Lonchura striata: one gene and its partner. The protein of the gene in region 1 interacts with the protein of each later gene in a biochemical or structural test. Links are inferred from orthologs where the notes say so. Each region holds a gene or a part of one and is shown on either strand. Other genes may lie near its edges. The genes, in order: BCL10 and CARD11.

What was found.
Region 2: the proteins of BCL10 (region 1) and CARD11 form a complex in vitro, tested with the Homo sapiens proteins (2 studies listed by BioGRID, with this or other methods). The link is inferred for Lonchura striata from reciprocal best matches to the Homo sapiens genes BCL10 and CARD11.

The regions. Positions count from the first base shown.
Region 1 is NC_134611.1:18,376,778-18,380,688, forward strand, and holds the start of BCL10 (B-cell lymphoma/leukemia 10), read right to left. Parts: upstream 2,830-3,911; 5' UTR 2,779-2,829; coding exon 2,695-2,778; intron 715-2,694; coding exon 426-714; intron 1-425. UniProt on the Homo sapiens protein: Plays a key role in both adaptive and innate immune signaling by bridging CARD domain-containing proteins to immune activation.
Region 2 is NC_134618.1:13,867,954-13,871,864, forward strand, and holds the start of CARD11 (caspase recruitment domain-containing protein 11), read right to left. Parts: upstream 2,790-3,911; 5' UTR 2,683-2,789; coding exon 2,670-2,682; intron 1-2,669. UniProt on the Homo sapiens protein: Adapter protein that plays a key role in adaptive immune response by transducing the activation of NF-kappa-B downstream of T-cell receptor (TCR) and B-cell receptor (BCR) engagement.

The DNA of each region.
Region 1 (3,911 bases):
TAAGCTGTGGCATTGAAGGCATACAGGGGAACTCCCTCAAGCTGCATTTGCTAGTATATTTTCTGCTGAGGCACAAAGTTTAACTAAACCAGAGCATCCTGCCACTGCAGCAAATACCTTGAAGAGAAATGAAAGATGGAAGATAACCACCCATTTTTGAAAAGCAAAACTGAAATACGAAGACAGCTTTATCCATCATAATAACACAATAGGGGTTTTTTTGCTACTTATTATTTATGGTGGATGTGTTCAGATAGTAAAAAGGTAAAACCAGGATACACACACTAGGATCTCAAATGCAAACTGGAGATATTTCCAAACATGTTGTTCCAAATACCAGAGGAAGACTTTTGTTTTGGATTTTAATTTTGCAGACCCTCAAAATAAAACCTATGTCTTACACAACATTATTAAAAAGTTGTTACCTTTAATAGCTTCAAGCTTTTCGTTTTTGACTTTCAACACTACATCAGTTATCTTTTCTAACAGGAAGTTTTGTGTTCTTTCTCGTCTGATAGATTCAATCAAAGTATCCAGTCCCTTTGGATTTTCTGCTAAGTAGTCCAGCAACTTCCCAGTTTTTTTCCTACTGGAAGATCGAGCAGAAATTTCTTCTGTGTCCTCCCTAGTGAGTATTTTCTTAGAACGCAGGTAATCAAAGTGTCTCTCAGCTATGATTTTATCACACAGGTAAGGACGCATCCTTTCTAAAGCCTGAAAAACAAAACAAACTAGTATTAGCCAACATTTCTAATTACTTAGAACCCTGTAGTTGGAACCTATATGATTTTGATACAGGTTAGCAAAAGAATTTTTAAAGCTGCTGCTGTGTTACTTAGTTGAGACTTTTCTCAGTGTAAAAAAATTTTTTAAAAAAACTGTTACCTAATTATCACTTTCATTAACTCTTTGACTGAACTCAGGAGTTCCAATGCTTGTTACAAAATATGGTGACTGCTTATAAAAAATGTGATTACATAAGGTCTGAGGTTAGCACGTTTCAAAACAATCAAGTAAAAATGGAATTATACCAAACAGCACCTACTCACTTTGTCTACAAATACACCCATTTTCACTGGTCATCTGATTGCCACATGTGTTATCCTTGAGGCACAACTCCAAAATACTGCAGTTGTTGACGTTTTCTGTACATTGAGCAAAAGCAGTCTCAAAGCAACAGCATGAATATGCTCCCAGTTCAAAAGGTTTGTAAATAATCCTATTTATTTACACTATTGACAAGTTCAACAAATTACTGACATCCAAGATAAATGCACTTTCATCCATAAATGTACGTACTCTCAACATTAGTGGCTGCTTTTAGTCTTTTGCAACCCTACTCCATTGTATGAGTGATTCTCACCCTCATCCTTCTCAGCTCTTAACTGCAAGACTCCAAACGTTATAACTCTTCCTCAAGACCAGCTTGCCCAGATCAAGATGTCCTTGCTAGTTTTAGTTTCCTGAGGTCCCCTGTCATAGACAGTGACTCTGCTAACACAGCACCCTGGCCTGCAGAGATCCCATCAAAGTCTCCTGAACAGCCCTGAGAGAGCCGAGTCAGTTGTGAAGCCACAACATTTAAAATCTGACTGCAGAAGCTCTAAAGTCAGATTTGTGGGACTGCATTTTGATGATAAAAAGAAGGTTATTTCTTTCTACCTAAGGTTTCCATCCTTTCTCCTCCAAGTACTATACCTGTAAGATCAAGGGCTGAAGTGACAATCATGCACTTCTGTGAGATGCAGCTGCGGGTTCAGTCACTGACCCAGACAAACATACTTGTCATGTTATACCTACAGTGTCTGACTCAAGTAGTTCTTATCCTTTTTTGGTGTAACTACCCAATGCCAACTATTGCAGTATCAGCCTGTGGAAACGAGTATTAGCTTGAAAAACATGTCTCACAAAACTATGACAAAGCATTTAAAAAGAAATCACTTAAGCATAAAGCTAGAAAAAAACAAGCTGCAAGGAGTCTTTACTGTACTTTAAGAGAACGTAAGAAAACCCCAATGAATCAAACATAAGACACTATAAATTACAAACAGAACCATGGATAGGCAATAAATAAGTGATAAACTGTTATTTTACTTTTTATTAAAAAGTAAATTTTTTTACTTTTAATTTTTTTATTTTTAAATTAAGCAATCACTTGTTGAAGTTGTTAATGCATTGCTTCCCAGTCTCACGTTGAGATAAATTATTCCAGAATGGATCAGGATGAAGTCTTCCCTCAGATTCCAAACAACAGTGAATAAGTACTGGGGAAAACCCAGGAAAATATAGAACAATAAGCCTCAATAAAAATAAAAAATATCTAAGGATACTTAACGAAGACATCCCCGCTTTCTAAGAATTCACTTCCCTGGCCGCAGGAGCAGCAGTCACACTCCCAGCCGAGCTTCGGGTCCCGCAGGCAGCGGCGCGGCGACCGCCGCAGCCGAGCCCCGGAGCCGGGCCCGCGCAGGGCGGGCGGCCCGGGGCCCGGCGGGGACGGGGCGGCCCCGGGCCCGCGCTCGCGAGGGGGCCCAGGCGGGCCGAGCCGCGCCCGACACTCCCCGGCCCGGCCCCGGCCCGGCCCGGCCCCCCGCCCGCTCCCACGGCGCTTCCGCTCCCCCGCCCGCGCACGGGCCCCACTCGCCGCTCCGCGCCCGGCCTGGGCACCGAGCCCCCGGCTCGCCCGCCACTTACATCCTTCTTCACCTCCGCCATCTCGTCCTCCGTCAGCGGCCGCCCCGCGCCCCCCGAGCTCGCCCACGACCCCGGGCCCTCCATGGCGGAACCCTCGGCGGCGCCGCTGGGGAAACCCGCGCGGGGCGGCGCCTCCGCCCCCGCCCGCCTCCGCCAATGGCAGCTCAGCCTCGGCGCGTCGCCCCGCCCCCAGGCGGGACAAACCGCGGCCACGCCCCAGCGCGGCCCCGCCCCAATGGGAGCTCAGGGTCTGCGCTACGCTCCGCCCCCGGCCCGCCCACCAATGGGCGCTGAGGAGCGGCGCTCCGCCCCCGACCCCCCGCCAATGGGCGCTGAGGATCGGCGCTCCGCCCCCGGCCGCCCGCCAATGGGCGCTGAGGATCGGCGCTCCGCCCCCGGCCCCCCGCCAATGGGCGCTGAGGATCGGCGCTCCGCCCCCGGCCGCCCGCCAATGGGTGCTGAGGATCGGCGCTCCGCCCGCGGGCGGCTCCCGGTCCTGCGGCCGCGCGGGCCGGGCTCGGTGCCCCGGTGCGGGAGTGCCGCGCCGCCGGCTCCGGCTCGGGCTCCTCGGGACATGTGACGACCCCTCCGCTAAAGGGTCTTGAGCGTGCGGAGAGGTGTCGGGGCCCGCGGCTCGTGCGGGTGCCGGCTCGTCGTGCCGGCGGCTGGCGGCACCGGGCCGTACCGGGCGGGGCCGGTTGCCCGCAGGTTTCGGGGACTGGCGGTGTTCAGAAGCCGCTCCGCTGCACCGGGTCGTGCTCCAAGGCAGCAGCAGAGGGAGCCGCTGCCCCGCCGGGACACGGCGCCGCTCCGCAGGAACGGCAGCGCTGGAACGGCAGCAGTCGGTGTTCTCGCCGCTGACACGGGTGAACTCGGGCTAGTTATTCACTCCTAAAATTTTCCATTCAGCAGATAAACATGAACAGAAGTAGAAGCGATCAACGCTGCGGTTTGCTGTCAGTAAGGACAACCTGCCAGTTCTGTGGTAGTTTTACAGTTTTGCAAAGTCTTTGACTGACATGCTTTGTTAATGCACTTATAGTACTTGAAATATTAATTGTAACTATATCTATTTTGCAGTGCTAGCAGTCCCAGCTTTAAAATAAACACGAAGAACCTGCCCAGAACAGTTGAAAAATAAAGGACTAGGCACCTGATGCCGGGGCTGATTTCTGCAGAGCTGGGTGTTAAAATCGGGGCCAATCCCCAGAGGTTGC
Region 2 (3,911 bases), on another chromosome or scaffold:
CTCCCACGCTGAAAGTGTATTAAGAAAGTTCATCATTAAAGTTTATTGAACTCTTAATTAAGAGTTAAATCTAATTGGAAGTAACTATTTGCATAAGAACAGGGAGTAAAACGTGATTCTGAATTTCTGTTCTGGGGTTGGCTCTCTTGATACAGAAATTTACTGAGGATAGAAAGTTTCCAGGCTCTTTCCTGCTGAAATTCCTCCTCTGCCAGACACATTATTGAAGAAACTGGACACAGACACACACAAAAATACAATTTCTGTCTCCAGGTCCCCTTGCAAAAATCACAACACACCTTTGACATTGTCCATTTTAGCTCAACACAGGGAAACAATGTGATGCAAAAAGAAAAAGGAGGGGGTGAGAGAGAAGAGACATTGTCCCAGCCCATTTATTTATGGGAGCCTTTACAAAAAGAACCAGTAATAGGGGCAGAAAGTACTGATGAAATAAGGCACAACATCCTAAAGCTTTTTCAAATGACTCAAAGGAATACAAATGCTGTTCCCATCACAAGATGAGTTGCAACAGAATAAGAAAGAGTCATTTTAGACCTGAATGTATAAAATTAGCATCTCGTATTTTATTGTTCTAGGCTTGTGGACTTTTTGCAAGATCCAAAAGGCAAAGATATTTTAATGTACCTCTTTCTGTATTCAGAAAGAATTCTCACAGCTCAAAGGCCACAGTTTTCTAACTCTGAATCAGAAAGGATATTTTATAATTGCAAACATAAAAATTTAAGCTCCTTTCACTCATAAGGAGATGGACAATTTGAGAGAGCCAGACAGATTGCTAAGAGAATTCTCCCACATAATAATTCTCTTATTAATTCAGCTGAGTTTAATAAGTGAAACTTATTCAGTTCCCAAAAGACCACACGAGAACATCCTTAGGAATAAATCTTCAGTCTCAATAGTCCTGCTCAAGAAGGTGAGGCTAAAAAGCTTCATCAAAGAAGTACACTTATTTGTCATATTTGATTCAAAGCATACAAATTTAAGCAAGGAATAACACCAGATATTGTCCTTGGATGCAGTTTTTAGCCATGTCTGATCTTGGTGACTCACCAGTATGTCTGGTATAAAAGACATGAGCTGTTTCCAGATCCTAGGAGCAAAGTAACTGCCACTACAGCATCGGAGATGAGAACGTCTACCTTTGGGACTTGGAATCCCATAGGAATCAAAAGGACAAAAACTATGCCAGTGTCAGATAAGAAATTCTGCTGTGGGGCAGGAATTGCCGAAGTTTATTCAGTTTAGTAAAAAGATTAACTAACAACTAGAACTATTTTTTACAGTTTTCAAAAGGCATTTTGCAATGTACTTTCCCATTTTTTCATCTACCTTCAGTTCAGTCACTAAGCTCTTTCTCTGCTCAGGTTGGTTATTCTGCAGAGGAAAGAGGAGCTGAGAGACTGCAATACTTCCTCTGGTTCCCCTGCAGGCTGGCAGAGGGATCCTAAGGCAGCAGTGCAAGCCCAGCAGCTTCAGCATTTCCTCCTAGTTTGAATGCAATATAAAGATAAAAACAGATAGAGAAACCTGGTGAAGAGTTGTGGTAAGAAGGTAGGAAGGAGTGGGATGGCAAAAAGAGAAGGGATAGAATACACAAAGTCAGGGCAGGCTCTATTTGAGAGTGGAGAGGAAGACAAAGGGGTTACAGGTGCTAGAAAATGCTGTTTGTAAGACAGAAACAGAGAGACAGGATGACAGTGGTTATTTGCTGTGAATGACTAAATATGAGTCTGAGCATTGGAAGGAAGCTATGCAAGGGTAAAAGTCTCCTATTTTGGGATGCATCCCCAAAACTGTAAATATGCAAATCCTGAACACTTCCATGGAAGGGAATGACAGGACTAAGAGACACATGTGTGCAAGGACAGGCCAGTGGAGAGGCAAGAGCTCTCACGAAAGGCTCTTTCCAGTGCAGCAAACACAGGAGAGAGGGGATGGAGCAGGAAGTAGGAGTGCATGTGTGAAGCTGGAGGAACAACGGGAAAGGGGAACACAAGAACAAGAAGGAACTGACAGAGGGGAGGGAGAGATTAAGAACTTGAGGGAGGATGCACAGACATGAAAGAAGGCAGAGGGAAAGGAAAGGAATGAAAAAGGGAAATAATTTGTCACACAGAAAATACTCTTGATGGCATAAAAAGGCATAAAAAGGCATAAAAAGATGGTGAAAAAGATAAGAAATAGAAAGGGTTGAGAAAAGAAAAAGGGAAGTGAGAAGAACAAATAAAAAGAGGAAGAAAACCAAATAATAAAGATTTTACTTGTTAGCAGAAAGCATAAATCTCAGTGAAGAGATTTAAAGAAAGGGCTAGAGTTCAACACACTATGGGTAGAACCAGAAATACCCTGGAGACCAGCACTGATGATCAGTCCTTCATCTCCCCTCTCCAGACCTCCATATCAACTCAGTTTCCCAGTGCACATTTGCACCTCCAGCTACAGCCTCTTTGCCTCCCTCAAGCCTGGGCTCCAAAGATCGACACACGCTGAATATCAGACCTGATGATGGCAAGGGAAGCACAAATGGAACCATTTTCAAAGAACCTTTTGAATATCAACACGAAAAAGGTGAAAGTGGAACTTTCAGTGATCAGAGCTGTGTAGGCAGCAGGGAGGGGAGCTGCTCTGCCAGCTGCTCTCCTTACCTTGGGTGCCCATGAGTGACCGGCTGTGGGGCTGCAGCTGCTGCAGGCTGCACTCTCTACGTCGCCTCCATGCAACAGTCTGTGTCTCTCCAGGAGTCCTGGAAAGGTTATTCGTGCTCTGCAGCTGTTGAAAAGTTAAGGAAACACAAGAAGCAAAACACTCCCTGGCCCCCAAAGTACAAAAGTCTCGGGAGAATCAGGAATGAAGGAGGCTGGGGGCACTGGTGTCAGAATGAGCAAAGAGCCACACAGAAAGTAAGAAAAAGTGTGTCAGAGGCTGGGAGGGGCAGAGAAGGAAAATGCAAAGATCTGACAGGAAACCAGACTATAAATCTGCTGCAGGTTGAAAAAAACACATTTCTGCTCCCCAGCAATAGGGCCTGTTTGCAAATGACTCTGCAGGCAGGTGACAGCAGAGCCCTGTGGCAGCAGGCAAGCAAATCAGGAGGCACTGCTGCCCCTTTCCCAGGAAGAGCAGTGGGCAGAGGTGGCAGCACAAATGCCCGGCTCGGGCACAAGAAGCAGCCTGTCTCCACTGCCTCACTTCAGCTCCACACACTTCCAGGGCATGATTTCCTCAGGCTCAAGGGGATGTGCTTAATGCCAGCCTGGCTGGTGCTGTGCCTTTCCCAGCACAGAGCAGCAGCCCTGGTGTCTCAGGGCACTTGCTGGTAGAAAGCAGGTGGGAGAGAAAAAAGAATGAAGGAACTGAAGAAAACAGAGTTTCAAGAACAACAGTTCCAGGCAGAAGGAGCTCTGGGTTTTCCCAAGGTATCAAAGGTTTTTCATTAAGGCATCTAGATTATTAATAGCTTATTTTGCTAAAAAGGTAGTCAACAAGGTTTGCTTTATGCATCAAATTATTTTACAGTTGAAGGATGTTTTGAATAACGTGTTTTCCAAAGGCAGTCTTTGCCGACACAGAGAAGCTGCAGTAGCTTGTATTGCTTCAATGCTGGATTCCAGCCTTAAGGCCAACATGCAAACCCAGCCCCTGGTGGGTCTCACAGAGGACATTTAGCTCTTGCTGCAACCAGAAGCCTCCCTGCAGCCAAACCCACCAGAGCAGTCACCATCACTTCTAGAAACATCTTGCAGTGCTCTGCCACCCTGCTGAGGGATCCTGAGCCTGAACCCCTTGCGTGGTGTGCTGGTTCTTGTACAAGGCACAGGTACAGCTCTACTGCTCACAGCCGAGGTTTTACCTTTACACTGGGCACATGTGCACAGGTGAAACCTCCC